Drosophila melanogaster: one gene and its partner. The protein of the gene in region 1 purifies or fractionates together with the protein of each later gene. This does not show direct contact. Each region holds a gene or a part of one and is shown in the gene's direction. Other genes may lie near its edges.

Region 1 (10,007 bases):
TAAGCGTCCAATTCGGAGGCGAAGACGGCAGAATGCAACTAAAACTTTACGACTTCTTCACTTTGGCCAATTGCGAGTTCGACTTCCGCATTCACATGCCGTTCTGCACTTTTACGTTTTGTCGTAATCCCCGCCAATTACGATACTAGCCACTAGTCACCCACTACACACACTCCTCTGTTGGCCAAGTTTTGTAGTTCTTACCGCTGGTGTTGCATCCACATTGACAGCTTAGATTAAGTGTTGACCATAAATTGGCACGGTTAGTTGGCGCTTGTATTTATGAGGCCAGTGCAGTTGCCATTTAGCAGGTCGAATTTATATACTGGCAATTACAAGTGGTTGTTCATTTGTTTAAAGATTTAATGTGTATATTTGTAATAAACATAAATTTCTTCAGTACATTGGTGATATTTAGGTACATATTTTGATAAGCACTTGTTTGAACAAATTTCTATATTATAAATTACGAGAGAAATAAAATATTAACCACAAAACTCTGTTGAATCTGAACTACTGGCACACGGGTTAAATTCCGCCATGAATGCTAAGGTTCCTTGGTGTTATATTGCCAATCAGCTGCGGAAACCACCCCACCCACTCGCACACCAAGGCCAGTCTCATTTTCCCCCACACCGCATGCTCCTTGGCCATCCGTAGTTTATGGCACAAAGGGGACTTGGCTTCAATTTTCTTTATATTACAGCTTGATTTAATTTGACGTGAGACTTGCTCTGGGGCCCTGTTCTTGACCAGACCGAAATTAGAAATGTAGCCATGCAATGCGGAAACTCGTACTTGAATACATTTCTAATTCTGATTCTGAAGTGAAGCGATTACAGGTTACATTCGGGAAAATTCAAATGTTGCTTAATGAAAATATGAACAATTGGAAAAAGCAAATGTCATTTACCAGCTGCCAAGAGCAGCGACTTATCAATCTGCCCGATTGATATAATTTCATAAGGCGACCTTTGCCCCCGCCCACAACAACAAAAAAAAAAAAACACTTTCAATGTAGTGCCACGCCCACCCACTGTGACAGGAAAAACTTTTGGTGCAAAAAAGTAATAAAAAGTAACGGAAAGCGTTAGCTTAATAACAAATGGAAAGCGGAAAACGAGAGGGCAGTGCTGGTCGAAAAAAAGGGAATGATAATGAAAATGAAAATGCATAAACAGAAATCGTTGACAAGGCGGTGGGCGGAATGTACTGGGCGCTTAGATGAAGGACGGCTGCGTGGAAAACTCATTAAAACTTTTCACAGCCCATTTAAAAGCAATTTGTAAATTGTAAAACTTGCACTTGGACCGCGCAAAGTCGGTGAAAAACGTTAATAATTATTATTTATACTTTCACGCCAAGCATAATCCATATTGTAAGCGAAATGTAGGCTGAGCATTTTAATACAATTAACTGTTTGTAATTTGTACATCAATTTTCTCAAAATGCTTAATTGGGAATCAAACATTTAAACATAGCATATATCCTGACAACAAGCTTACAAAAACATCTTTTATTATTAAAAAAAAAATCTACAAACTTTAAGCAAGGTATTTTTTTGAAAATACTGTAATTAATCATTCAATTGCTTGCTAAAAACTCAGTTAAAAAAAAAAAAAATCCTCAAAGAGAATGGTGCACTCGGCAATCTGCCACTGCCCATTTCCGTGGCATCTTTTCAGTCCGGAAAATAAGGGCTCGTCGCAATCACTTTGAGCCCGTGGAAAGGCTCACAATCGCAGACATTAAATCAAATTTCCGCACAATTCCGGCAAGGGGTATGCGAAAAATTGTGTTAGCTGCGGTTGGCTTTCCTTCGCAGCCTTCTGCTTATTTTACTTCCACTACCGATGCCACAGCGCCACTTAAATATTCAAAGCGAAAAGTTGCCCTACACCTTTGCGTCTTGGCTGACTTTCCCCTGTTTTCCGTGTTTTCTTTTCTTTATTATTCAAACGCCGCTTTTCATGTGCAGTGCCCAAAAATTCCCACAGGATGCAGTCAAAGGCGGTGGGGTGATTAAGGGTTGGTGTGGGGTTAGGGGCGAAAAGGTTGATGGGTGAATTGTATTTCACATGTGCAGTTCTTTAAACGTTTTTATAGCGCTCATCTCGCTCATGCCCCACACGCTTTACATTGTGGGCAAGAGTCTAGGCAATTCCCTGGAGATATTATACCTTTCGGTTAGGTTAGGATAGCAAAGAATGTTCAAAAACAATATAAATAAAACAGATTAATATATTTAGTACAAATTCAAAAGAACCGCCTAAGTGGTTTTTAGGGCTGCCAGACAAGAAAAAAATTCGTGCACTCTGGTTTGAGTCAATGCTAACAGTGCTGTATTCTTCTTTGTGTTTGCCACTGAAATAATAATTTGGGTATTTTAGGACATTTTGTGTACTATATGCTGAGCTGGCAACTTATCTATTTTGTAGACATATGCAGCTATTATATTTTAAACTTCAGACAAATTAATATAATATATTATATTTTAATCTTAAGACAAGTTGTTATAATATATTTTTGTTATAATATATTTTAAGCTTCAGAAAAAAGGTTATTTATCTGCATATTCCAATTTTTGTAATCGTTACCAAACTCAATAAAATAATTTTCAACTGCTCCATACAATACATATCATTTTTGACAGATCGCTTAATTTTTGCTTTAAAACGGAATTTATTTATCAATACCTGCTAGTTTAGCTTTTTACAAGATGGCATTTGGCTGCTCTTTCACTCCGAGAGTTGGCAACACTGCCACACTGTCAAATTCCAGTAATTATTCTCGTCCACTGCTGTTGTTGAATTGCAAAGTCGCTCGGCGCGTTAGCATAGAAGCCCAGCATATATTTGCCCGATCCGAAAGCAGGCGGAGATCAGTGAAAACGTATACATATTTACCGCTAGTTGAGCAGTGCGAAAACGTGTCCGGAAAAGCCAAAGGCCAACGACAGCGAGTGCGAGCGAGAGAGCAGGTGACAGCGACACCGACAAGATTCCCCGCCTTCCCCCCTCCACCAACGAACCCTTTTCGACTGTTTTTTTGCACGGCACGGGGAAAACCGAAAGAAAAACGAGATTTTCAATTGATTTGCGACGCAGTCCGGCCGGAAAATGCTCATAAACCTTAAGGTGAAGACCTTAGATGCGCGCATCCACGAATTCAGCATCGACAATGAGGTAATGTTTGAGGTTGTGTGTCCAGGTCTAGGGGCTTCTTTATATCCATGCACCCCACCCATTTCCAGCTCACCATCCGCCAGTTCAAGGACCAAATAGCCGAGAAGACTAACATTGCGGCGGAAAACCAGCGTATCATCTACCAGGGTCGCGTTCTGGTCGATGATAAGCAGGTGAAGGAATATGGTGAGTCATGCCCCCGGGAGCACCCACATATATATATGCACTTATATCTAATACAACAATATCAATGCCCATGCAGATGTGGATGGCAAGGTGCTCCATGTGGCCGAACGACCACCATTCTCGCAGCGCGGAGCCAATGCCCGCAACAATGATGAACCCATGCGAACCTTCCGCAATGTGGCACGTCCGCCGCCGCCCGGAATGCGTACTTCTCCGTACTTCCGCGCCCTCGATGGAATGCTGGTGGGCACCATGGCCATACCGGTGAACAATGGTCCAGTAGCTGGGGTAAGCCATTAAGATGAAAGCTCTTTCAACACGCGTATTTAAACGTATCTTAGCAGACACGTCCTCCACCGAATCGTTATCCCAACTCGTCGTCCTTCTGCATTAACCGCATCACGGTCGCCCTGCACATGATCGATTGCGCTGACAATATAGCAGCTTATCTGGAAAATCCTGCCGTTGGCCTGAACAATCAATCACTGGACATTCTGCAGCGCGGTCGCTGGTCGATGGAGTCCACAGTCGTGGAAGTAGGTGTCTCCTCGACTGATCTGCCACGCAACAATAACATCATCGATATGGTCCAAGATGCCGTGACCGCTGCTCTTTCGCATACAGGAGCACGCAACTATACGGTGGTTCAGCTGCCCACGGTTTATACCAATGAGAATGGCGAGACGAGCCAGCAGAGAACAGCCGAAGCTATAACAAGTGAGGGAGCAGCCAGTGGAGCTGCAAGTAATGCTAGTGGTGAAACCACAGCTGCTACTGTGATTATCGAGGATGTTATCGAAACGGACGACGAAGTGGCCGATGGAGCATCAGATCGTTCGGTCACGCCAACACCAGAGCCGGAGGCGGAAGGAGCAGTTGGTGGCCAGCAAGTCACTGCAGCAGAGACTCCCACATCCTCGGTTGGATCAGCAAATGACGCGGCTGCCGAAGGCGGCAACAACTCAGGACCCAGGCGACGCACTCGTCCTCAGGTGTTGGCCCAAGTTATTCAGCACTATCGTGGCGTACAGGCTCGCTTGGCGCCTTTTGTTGATCGGTACTATGAGATTCTCCAGAATGATCCCACTTTTGAGGAGAGTGTAAGTTAATAAGCCGAGCTCTTATAAGCCTATTAAAACATTAAATTCCTTTTTTAGGACACCGATGGTCGCGAGAACGCACAGCGCATCTTCGATCGCGTCTCGGAGGCTTTCCACTACCTTTCGCACGCCCAGCACGCTATATCCGATTTAATGCTTGACCTGTCGCAGCCAGGGCCACGTGTGCTCACCTGCCGACCCATTCTCGTTGAGCAGAGCGGTTACATACGCTCCAATAACATCTTCACGCCCAACTTTTTGGCACCGCCCTCGGGTATTATCAACGAGCCTTTCCGCAATAGAGCACCTGGTTCTGCCTCTGCAGCTGGCACTCAAACGGCCACCACAGCGGGCACTCAAACGCCCACCAGCGCGGGCACTCCAACTGCTGTGGCACCTTCGCAGGCTGCCAATTTGCAGGCGGCCACCGATGCCAGTCGCAGTGCAGCGGCCATGGCGGAGATCGCCAGTCGAGCTGCTGGAGCCGCTGCGGAAATGGCTGCCGGAGCTGCCAGTGCGGCTGCTGGAGCTGCGAATGCGGCTGCCGCCGCCGCTCGCGATTTATCCAGTGATCAAGTAGAGGATCCCATCGACGAGCCTATGGTGGGGCCAAATGCTGCAGGTGCTGAAACACTAGCACAAGAGCAACAGCGTCTCGAAATGGGTAAGAAACTTTATACAAACACTGTATGCAGATGAGGCTGTGCAAAATCAAATTCACTCATGGCCTTAGACAAGGAATTCGTGTCTCTGAATCGTAAATATTCCCGTATTATTTGTTGAAAATATTCTAGATCACGACCACGATCAAGCTCAAAGTGAAACTCCCGAACGAGAAACCCGACCAGTGCCTAGGCTGCGTGTCTATGTGCCAGTGACTTTGCCACCGCCCAGTATGTTTTGATTGTTCGGTTGAATCCAACGCCTCAGTCATGGCAGACTAACCATAATCTTAGCTGCTCACTCACTGCATCCCTACTTTGGTTTCACTTTCACTTTGCTAGTTTGATTCTTTTACTGACCCGGCCCTAAACAAATTAACCCTTGCTATACTGAACGCTTCAAAGAGCTGTTACTGCTGCTTTACAGATCCCCAATTGGAAATGGCCCGAATTATTCAGGCAATGGTCAATGGTCAACGACCGAACGATATCCATGTGGAATTCAATGCCCCCAACGTCATGTCGATTAACTTGCCCGTGCATGTGATGACGACCGTGCGACAGGCTCCGGCAGCTGGATCGAACGAAACAGCAGATCAGTCTGCGTCCGAATCCTCCTCCCCTGAAAGTGCGCCTGCGTCGGGCAATGGAGAGTCTCCAAATGCAGCTTCAACATCAAGTGGAACACGCAGTGGCGATCAGAGGGCCAATACCTTGCCCACCACGGCCACCCAAACGCGCTCGACATCAAGACCACAGATTCAGATTGGCGGAAACAACAACTGGGGCGGACGCATTGCTCCGACACACACGGCATTCGACCGCTTTCTGCCTTGCAATAGTCATCACATTCGGGAACCAGAGCAGCTGCTCCAAAACAACAGTACCAGTCGCAGCACCTCGACAGCACCAGCAGGAGGAGCCACCGTTGTTCCGCCCACATCTGCTGCAGTAACTCGTCCTGGTGAGTACGGCTCCCATCCGGGGAAATCTAGCAAACACTACCTTATGTCCACGATCCATTTCGCCAATCCACCAATCCATTTCATTTGCACACTCACCAACCGGAGATGGAAAGCCAAGTGTATCAAAAACCTGTCGGATCAGGGCGCGATAAATCTTTAAATGCTATACGATTTTAAAATTTTTACAAAATTTAATAGTTAACTATACTAAAGAACTATTTATTTGCTATCTCGACCTCCGACTGGCCTCCATCTCTGACATTAATTTCCATTTTATCCATATCATCATTTAGTCACCACTGGTCGCATCCAACGCGGCAGTAACACAATCCGCCCAATGTGGTCGTCGCGTCGCCAGCGACCAGCCAGCGAGCAACTAAGCAACCTGGGACCGGCAGCCTGGGCGCAGGCGCAGACCCAAACAACTCATATACCAAGTGCCCACGTTGGTGCTGGCAGTACCAATGGGGCCGGAGTCGGAGCCGGGAGAGTGCGGCCCGTTGGAGGATCGACCATCAATCGTGATCGGCTGGCGACTCGAACGGCCCACGTTGGCGGTGGCAGCACCAACGGAGGCTTGCCCTCTGGCCGAAGGGGGCGACTACAGGCCGCCACCAGTCGCCTGTCCAGACATTTACCCACCCAACTCGCTAATTTTTTGATTAATAATATGAGAAATAATGCGCCAACAGCTTCGGTAGGCAGTGCAGTTGCCGCCGTCGGAGATACGGCCGCCTCACCATCAGGAGAAGCTGCCCCAATTGCTTCAACCACGCCAGCTGCTCCGCTACAAACTGTTTTGCCGACATCCACACCCACTCCTCGCGGAGACTCGAACAACCTGCGTTCGCAACTGCGCACCTTCCTCAACGACAGCCTGTTTGTCGGAGTACCCATCAACGAGCAGACTATTCCGGGGGCCATTGGTCGCGCACTAGACTGGTTCGGGGAGAGCCTGGTCTACCTGCCGCAGTACGAGCGTCCGGAGTACAACTCGCGCGACTCTGTGTGCAACATCCTGCGTGTCAGCCTCCGTTTGATCATCGAGCTTTGTAATGGAGCTCCGGCCGGTGTAGATAGTGCTCAATTCGAGCAAAGTCTCAAACAGATTTGTGACCAATTCCGCAAGCGGCTATACAGCGTTCTCTTCCTGTGCCTTGGAAGCGCGAATGCGGAGCTCTATTGGCGCCAGCTAATGCGCCTCCTTTGCGCACCGATGCGATCCAGTAAGTTGACACCAAAAGTGATCGTAAGTATACTGGTTAACTCAATATTTCTTTTGCAGACTTCCGCAACGAAGCCCTGCAGTTTTTGTGCATCTACATAGACCCCACGATTCCCGCCCAAACTGACACAGTGGATGCCCAACAGTTCCTGGTCTTGCGCAGCATTCAAGCAGCTCCTCCAACAGCTGCCGACGAGGTAGGTTTCCAAACTATTTTCCATGCCCAGAAACTTATGCACTAATAGCCATTTGTGGCGCCGCCTCCTTTTGCTTTCAACCCACAACAGCAGCAGCTGCAAGAGCAAACTCTGGACACGGATGTTGAGATGTCCGAAGTGACCGCCAGCGGCAGCAACAGTTCACCGGCAGACGAGCTACCAGCTGTGATTGTGGGCTCAGAGCCTTGGCACATGAGTTTCCCCAATGATTGGTTGCCTGTGATAACGCGCGACCTACAGACCCAGGCAGAGGTAGGTTATTCCGTACAACTTTCTGGAATTACACTAAACTATGTCTCAATCTATGTATCCTGCAGCAGAGTAATCGTCCCCAGCCGCCCTTCTCGGATGCCTACATCTCGGGCATGTCCGCCAAGCGCCGCAAGATAATTCAGTCGGAAAAGCCGACTGCCAGCGTGGAGTGTCTCATTGCTAATGGAGTGCAGAGGGCTATCCAGAGCGTCGGCTTGGGTGGAAGCAATGGTGGTAGCGCCTTAAACGCGTCGATCAGTATGGATACCGTAATCGGATCCATTGCTCACGACTCCACCATTCAGGCCGCCTACACGGATGCGGTGCGCAATAGTTTAAAAGAGCGTACCGAGCGGGATGTGGATTTTAAGACCAGCAAGTATCCGCAGATTGCCAAGTTCACCGAGCAAAAGTAGGGGGCAGATACGGAGACGGAAGCCTGGCCACCTAATGCTTCTTGTACATTTTACTTTAATAAATTGTATTTAATTTAGTTAATGGTTAAGTTCTGTTTAAATCGAGAAGACGACGAAGATTGCGACAACACCAACACACGGAGTGGACCCTTAGCAAATGCTTCAAACTATTTAGAATAATAATATCCAACTGATATTTATCCACACACACACAGAGATACACACACACAATGGGTCAAGACGCAACAGAGCCCAATCAAAAACAATTTTTGCGGTGCATGAATGAGCAAAATAAACACACATATTAACCGAAACAATGGCGATTGGAATTGGATTAAATGGACTTGGATATTAGACCACACACCGAGCGGAATGCTTTCAATTGTCCCAAATGGCGGTGGCGTCCCCGCGTCGGATGACGTGCTGCAAAATCAGAACAGACCCGTAGACCCGTGACGACAGCCAAATTCCGAATTCCAGCCAAGTATTTTGGCCGGCGCCAAATCGCCATTGACGTGAGCCGATGGCACATGATTGCTGGACGGCCGATGACGACCAATCCGGAATGTGCAGATCTATTCAAGTGGATAAGCCTTCAGCAGAAGCATTACCGGAGGCATATCCACACCATCCCATCGTACCAGCAACCCGCACCATCCCATTTCATCGTCATCGAAGTCCGAAGCCTACGCTACTCTTGTTATTGTTGTCGCCTGCAATCGAAACACGAAAATGTGTCACATAAAAATGTTGAGAATATTTATGTGCAAAAAAAATAAAATAAAAACAAAAAGAAATACCAAGAAGCCGTAAAGAAAAGAAAACATATGAATAAATAATAATTATAAATATTTGCCGCTTTTCTTTAAATATTTACTCGAGATGATTGGGCGCCAAAAATAGATTGGCTACGTAATCGAGGTATATTTTCGTACCTACAGTTATTGATTACAGTGCGGTTCAGCACTGTAACACCACAATTGGCATCTGCTAAGCTCGGCAGTTGCTGTGCTAAAGAGTTTAACATTTTAGTTTATTCCAAGCTGCCAGTTTAGATCATAATTTAAATAACTATCTGCAATTCTTAGAAAATTATTCTGCGTGCGTTCTAATAAATTTATGTTAGATATATTCATAAGAATCATGACAATTTGAAAACTATAAACAGTTTATTTAAAAAAACCTTCCAGAGATATGGACATTATTTGATAGGAAAAACTGTGGAATTCGGAAAATATGTTCATAAAAGAAGAGTTTATCCCATTTATTAACAGATCTAAAACAGGAAGTAGTTCAATTACGAGAGGAATATTATTAATTGAAACATTATTGGATTGATCGAATAAAAGCCGGTCATAAGATTTAATTTTTTAAATCCCTCTAAATGAGTGAGCCCGGCTGTATGTAATTAAGTTAATCTCTCCGACGGCCCTAAACATAACATAATCGTGCCAAGGTTCCTCGGGAGCTTGCAGTCTGCATGGAAAATGGAGATGGATGTGTTGGCTGGGCATCAGAAGTCACTCAGCCAGTGGCCGCCCCCCGATGATCCCGATGATTAATTGCAGCCAGAACTGCAGACGACGACCACGACGACGACGAGGAGGAGGAGACATCGTTGGCACGCGCAATCCGTGGAATTTGCGGAATTTGTGGCGAGCGCATTTAAGGCGCCCAGTGTTTAATTATGCATGCGGTCCCAGAACTTGGAGATAAATTAAGGCAGCGGACTTTGATGCATGGCTCCTGCTCCCGGCTCCCTGCTCTCTGTCGCCTGCTGCCTGCTGCCTGATCCCAT
Region 2 (6,478 bases), on another chromosome or scaffold:
TGCATCGATTAGTACCACAATAAGCCCTGTGAAATTTTTGATTTGGCCGCGTGACGTAGACGTCGGGGCAAATTGAACTTTAATTCGAGCTGAATTTCGCATTCCAATTGGAGATAGTGAAGTGTGTTTTCCAAACGAGTTTCGTTTACACAGGCACTTCCTTTTCCACTCAATTTCCGAGCTTAGCATCTTTTCGAAGGTCATGGGATGCTGACAACGGGAAAAATGCCTGTGTAACAATTTGAATTTAACGTTTTGTTCGCGCTCATACACGTGATCATTGTTGTCGGCGGTGATTTATGTTTTAAACGCATACATAGACCGTTTGCCTACTATTTCGGTTTTAATTATTGTTCGTCAGTTTCAGCGCACAATTAACGGAAATGTAAAATTTAAATAACTTATAACGATTATATAAGCAATGCCACGCAGTGGGTCAGTAATGTATTTTTAAGCTTTCCGATTCCCGCGCGTTTTTAATGATCTTTTAAACTAATCACTCTTACATTGCGGGTACTTGCCGACTTATATTTCGGCGCAAACGGGCTTCTGCCATTTTGGTAAATCCTTGTGGTTAGTCAATTTTATCCAATGTATCCATTCGTGGGTCTTGAGTTCCAAAGGCTTACTAAAATTTTCAGCCAATAATTCTCTACTAAGCAGCCAAAAAATTGATGTGGTCCCTATGAGTTGTTGTTTTACAAATTAGCAAGCGAATGCTAATTTATTGGATAAGCACAAACGCCCATGCAATCGATTGGTGTGGGGCGAAGTTCTTTGATAAGCTGGCAGTGCTTGGTACAGATTTCACTGAATTTTCATATATTATTATATTAAAATCCAACTTGCCTATAAAACGTATTTAATTAAAATGTTGTTAATTGTTTGCGGCTTAAAAAACCGTTACCAGTGCTGCCACGCTGCAGTTTTTATATATTTAAGCTGAACGCGTGTTGCCATATCAAGTTATAAAAACTTGTGATATCGATATTAAATGGAGGAAAAGACCGTCGCTAATGTTCCGATTGTTACCTCGTTTTCGTAAGTTTTTGGTTACAATCCGAAATTAATTGAAATATCTGGGCTTAACTGAATGTTTTGAAGCAGGAAAACTATCTATAATGACTGGAGTTACCCCACCAAAACGCTCTCCCCTTTGGATCGGCACACACAGCGGCACTTTTCACTGCGACGAGTTGGTCGCATGTTTTATGCTCAAGCAATTGGATGAGTACAAAAACGCAGAGATTTTCCGCAGTCGGGACAACAAGGCTTTGAAGGAGAAGTGCGATATAATTGTCGACGTGGGCGGCGTTTATGATCATGCCAAGAAATTGTACGATCACCACCAAATAACCTTCAAGGAGACTTTTAGTTCCGTTCGCCCAGATGTAAGCGAGGACTACAACGTTGTCAGGTGAATTCGTGGTGTTAGCGTAAATGAACCCGTATAATCCAATGTAATCCCCTCCAGGCTAAGCAGTGCTGGACTGGTCTACTGTCACTATGGCGAGCGTGTTATACAGAGCATCCTGCAGCGCGAAAAGGGAATTAAACTCTCACCGGAAAACCTGCAAACGGCCTTTATTCAGATCTATAGGAATTTTATCAACGAACTGGACGCAATTGATAATGGAGTGCCCATGTTCGAGGGCGTTGAGCCTATATACAAAATCTCCACTCATCTATCTGCCCGCATTGCCAAACTGAATCCGTCCTGGCAGGAAACTGGCGTAGACATCGAAGACCGATTCAGACAGGCGATGGATACTGCAGGTCGTGAGTTTGTGGACAACGTTGTGGAGGTATCATGTTCCTGGATTCCAGCCCGGGATCACGTACGAGAGGCTCTTAAAAATGCCAAGAACGTCCATCCCACCGGCGAGATTCTTGTGTTGAAGAATTTCTGCCCCTGGAAGTCTCATCTGTTCGATCTTGAAAAGGAGTACAAGGTGGAGGGTGTGCCCAAGCTGGTCGTCTTCAACAGCGGCAATAGTTGGCGAGTGGCCGGAGTTCCAGTGACGCCTGGCAGCTATCTGGGCCGCAAATTTCTGCCCACTCCTTGGCGCGGACTGATGGACGATGAACTATGCGATAAGGCGAGCATCAAAGATCTCGAATTCATCCATCACACAGGATTTATTGGCGGGGCAAAAACCGAGGAGGCTGCCATGTTGTTGGCCAAGAAATCCACCGAGTGGACAGAAGAGCAATAATATAATACGACTTAAAGTTATGCTTTTGAAATTGAAAAACAATAATTAGATCGCATTTAATTCTGGTGTTATTACGCATTTAATTCTGGTGTTATTACGTTATACGGAAAAGAAATACGCACATGTTGTACCTAAACAAATTTTATTTGTATGTGTATTTCGGTTAATGTATACAAAATCACCAAGGGAACCTCTAACATCATCTAGTCCATGCGGGTCTTCAGTGTGCGCTCCGTGATCTTGTCCTTCTCGATAATGTAGACGGTGGCACCCCAACCGCTCATGGCGTCGCGATCGAATGCGTTCACAATGGACTGGGCGATGACCTCAAACAGCTGGTCCGGCTCGAGATCGGGTTTCCACAGGGTTTCGCACATGCCATACAATTGCTCCGCACAGGTGCCGGCCACAACGAAGTCATCGGGTGCGTTGGGGCAGCCGATCAGGTCCATGTTGCAGATAAAAGGCTCCATGGTCTTGGGATCCAGGCCAGCAACGACCGGCTCAATGAAGTACGGGCCAAAGCGGTGCTCGTACAGAAAGCTGGACATCATGGCCGAGAAGGGCTTGGGACACATTTCACGGTTTTCGCGTGTCTCGTACAGATTCTTGCGGAACATCAGGCGATCGCGAACAGTAAGGATGTCCGTCTGCAGGCCTGTGAGCCCGAGGAACATCCGTGGGCCGATGTGGAACACCTTCTTGAAGTCCGTGGAGATCGTCTGAGCCTGAATGCCGAATCGGTGATCCGTGGCAATCGCCACGCAGTCCTTTCCGCGCATGGCCACTACACATCCTCCGTTGTAGGCTAGAATCGACATGGTGTCGTTGCTATTCGCTTAGCTCAATTTAATCAGCAGAAAAATGGAAATTTTGCAAAATGCTAAAAGCCGCCTGGGAAGATGACTTTTTGTTTCTGCTCTGCGTTGCCAGACTGCGAGTGTAAGATGGGCTAATACTGACTGGCTGTATAGAACTGGCAACGCCTACTAAAGAGATTTCAAAAAGAATCGCGTTTTTTAAGTATTTTTTAAGTATTAGTATTTTTAAACACAAGTTAAAGTTATAAAATGTTTAAAAATGCAAAAATATCTCCGCGAATGTTAAAACGCATTTTTCTTATCATTTGGATCCTTTTGAAGTAATAAAAGATCCAAATGTTAATATGCCAGTATTAGCTTTCAGTGTGACCAGGCCGCGTCAATCAGTTGGGATTTATTCTCCTCTGCGGCAAAGGCCACTTTGTAAGGGGCCCTTATTTATAGAAAAATTAAATTCTATCCCTTAAACTCCCAATTGTTCCGACTGAACCCAATGACCGGGTAAAGCTAGGCGCGTGTACCTTGTCCTCCTCTTGTCACATCAACGTCTACAGCCGCAAGCAGCCTACATCATCGGAAGGCGACAGTCTTGCACAATCGTCAGTGGAGCCGTTGCCCAGGAAATAAAGAACCTACCGCAGGATGGCAGAGGCAATGGTTGTGGAGGACCGCCCCGCGGAAGCCAAGCGATTCTTCTGCCACATGTGCAACGTGGAGATCAACATTCCCAACTCAGACTTCACCTGTCCGCTGTGCGCCAACGGTTTCGTGGAGGAGCTGCCGGCAAATGCGCCGGAGATGGATTCTTCGACGGCTGGAGCATCCGGCAGTGCCAGATCCGGAAGCAGCGGTAGTGGCTCTTCTGGCTCACACGACACCCTGAGCAGAGGCAGCTCATCGAGCGGATCTCAGGTGAATGTTGAGTCGCTGCGTAACGATATTGTGTCGCTGCTAAACATGCGGAATGTGCCCAACTTGGAAATTACCATCGAGCCAAACAGACGGCACAGCAACGTGCTGCATCTAGGCGGCTTTGGTGGTCCCTCGGGTAGTGACTCTGCCCGCGGCCTGACCGCCGGCGGACGAGTGCGTCCGGCAAATTTGGACCGACTGGACAATGTTCTCTTTGATTTTCTGCAGAGCCTGCCACTGGCCGGCGCCACGGCCGAAATAGTAACTGGACCCGGTGGAGGAGGTGTAGGCGGCGGCGGTAACTCGCACATGTTCTTCATGGGAAACCCGGGAGATTATGCGTGGGGCCGAGAGGGACTAGACACCATTGTCACCCAAATGCTCAACCAAATGGAAACTTCAGGACCGCCGCCATTGTCGGCGCAGCGCATAAACGAGATACCCAATGTGCAGATCAATGCCGAGGAGGTAAACCGCAAGATCCAGTGCTCTATATGCTGGGACGACTTCAAGATTGACGAGACGGTACGCAAGCTGCCCTGCTCGCACCTGTATCACGAGAACTGCATCGTGCCTTGGCTAAACCTGCACAGCACCTGCCCCATATGCCGCAAGTCACTGGCAGACGATGGCAACGATGCGGACGACGAATTTGTCATGCTCGATGCCTTCGGACCAGAGATGGCGGCCGATGGCAGTAATTCCGAAAGGAGATCGGCCAGCACCGCCACAGGAACGGACAATCCCTCGCCGGCTAATAATCCCAGTCAGGCAGCGGCGGAAGGCGGCCGAACACGTCCGGATGCTAATCCCGCCCAGGCAGCACGCAACAACATCTTTACCTTTGACGACGACAACATGTTTCTGGACTAGCTGGTAGGGCGATGCTAAATCGAAGTGGAGCGATGATCGATTGATATTCAAAATTAAGCCAAATATTGGCCGCATATATATTTATAATAGTTTCTCCTCACGCTTAATTTTGTTGTTGTTCAAAATAACGATTTGTAATAAACAAAACGGGACATACGATTCCGTTGGCTCTGCAAAAATCAACTCTCGTTTATCGTATCGCGTAGTTGCTTATTTTTCTTTGTAATGGAACTTGTATTGTACATATATGCGTGTCGTGTATATTTACATAATCAAAATAGGAACTGACTCTGTGCTTGCCTCAAGAAATTCCTTTAATGAATTATTTCAATAACATGCAGCTCGAACGTGTAAAATTAAAATACTTTCTAAAATAAACATCTATTGTAGTCTAGACTTCAAACTTGATATTATTCTTAAACTTTATTGACAACAAGTAAACGGTGTTTTTGTTTTTCAGGTGGATACACTTCAATTTTTATTGTTTATTTTTTTACTGTCTCGTCTGATCCTGGTTGTAAACTTCGAAAAGTTCTAAAGGAAGCTTATTGGCTCACACGGTCTGGTCATACTATTCCGGGAAGCATATGTTCCTCACAGGGTGGCAGCTCCGTCAAATTGTTTAAATTCCCATTTGACTGAAAATCTGACTTAACCGTTTAAGAACTCCGCCAAAATGCGTAAAGTCAATTGAAGTGAAGAATATAACGCCGTGACCAACGAAATAATATGACACACGAAGGAAGTAACGATTTTGTGGTGCTCACCGACGTGGTATGTCTTAGCAAGCCAACTATGTAATATTTGTTGGGGAAGACTTTTGTTTATTTCCGAACTTTTTTGTTTATTTTGCGTAGGTGCGCAAGCAATATGTGCTCTATTTGGAGCGCCAGCTGCAGGAGAATGTCTGCGCCTGGGCCAACCAATCCCGTAATCGCCACAAGCCCACAGCCTGGGCGTGCATTCCCGCGAGCTTGGAGCAACTGGAGAACAAGGCGAAGAAGGCTTCCATGGCGGCACAGATCTACCAAAGAGCCATGGTCAAAACGGTACAAGGTTCCCAGATACATATATTATGCCATGTTCATATAAGTTGTATACCGACAGATAGCTGCGGTACGTAGGAACACTCAGGAATGCCGTTTGGCCAACATTCTATTTGAACAAATGCAGCATGCAGCTGGAGAGGATGCTGTGCCCGTAAAAACAGACCACCGTCTGGTGGATAAGGCCACACAAACAACCGTCATAGAAGCCCAGAATGGCCACATAACTCCTACGGAGGACTACGATGATGATAGCTATGAGCTGCGTAGAAAAATCGATATGTTTCAGGCTAGTCTCGAACGGTCGGAAGTTCAGAACGAAACGCATTGCCCACATTGCCGTAGTAAGATCATGACCCCAGAGAATAAGCCCCTAGCCAATCAAGAATCTCTCTACTCCGAAACCGAAGATGCTGTGGCCCAGGAGTTGGCCATGTTGTTTGGAGAAGAGCCTACTGATCTTAATCATATATTCGGCATCGAACCAACTGCTGTTACTGACGATCCGCAGATCTCGGCCATACTAAAGGAAATAGCGAATGCGGAACTACCTGAAAAAATTGAGCATCCACCCACATCCCCAACCGCCACACCACCAACTGGGCATCAC

Evidence for each region. The genes of interacting proteins can lie anywhere in the genome.
Region 2: the proteins of CG7546 (region 1) and Iru purify together in Drosophila melanogaster (affinity purification with western blotting, with the first as the bait; one study listed by BioGRID). This does not show direct contact.

The regions. Positions count from the first base shown.
Region 1 is NT_037436.4:7,508,258-7,518,264, forward strand, and holds CG7546 (uncharacterized protein), read left to right. Parts: upstream 1-2,728; 5' UTR 2,729-3,119; coding exon 3,120-3,185; exon of another isoform or gene 3,186-3,253; coding exon 3,254-3,371; exon of another isoform or gene 3,372-3,447; coding exon 3,448-3,659; exon of another isoform or gene 3,660-3,712; coding exon of another isoform or gene 3,713-3,715; coding exon 3,716-4,471; exon of another isoform or gene 4,472-4,528; coding exon 4,529-5,135; intron 5,136-5,265; coding exon 5,266-5,364; intron 5,365-5,560; coding exon 5,561-6,097; intron 6,098-6,391; coding exon 6,392-7,324; intron 7,325-7,383; coding exon 7,384-7,520; intron 7,521-7,568; coding exon 7,569-7,793; intron 7,794-7,858; coding exon 7,859-8,209; 3' UTR 8,210-9,059; downstream 9,060-10,007.
Region 2 is NT_033777.3:9,003,035-9,009,512, forward strand, and holds Iru (iruka), read left to right. Parts: upstream 1-3,421; 5' UTR 3,422-3,679; coding exon 3,680-4,822; 3' UTR 4,823-4,996; downstream 4,997-6,478. Other genes in the region: CG31100 (uncharacterized protein), read right to left, coding at 507-556; CG11980 (uncharacterized protein), read left to right, coding at 1,017-1,041, 1,105-1,417, 1,475-2,216; Prosbeta3 (proteasome beta3 subunit), read right to left, coding at 2,420-3,037; CG11983 (uncharacterized protein), read left to right, coding at 5,552-5,596, 5,680-5,871, 5,930-6,478. UniProt on the Drosophila melanogaster protein: E3 ubiquitin-protein ligase that mediates E2-dependent, 'Lys-48'- and/or 'Lys-63'-linked polyubiquitination of substrates. Recognizes miRNA-empty Ago1 and triggers its degradation via polyubiquitination independently of the Bag6 complex.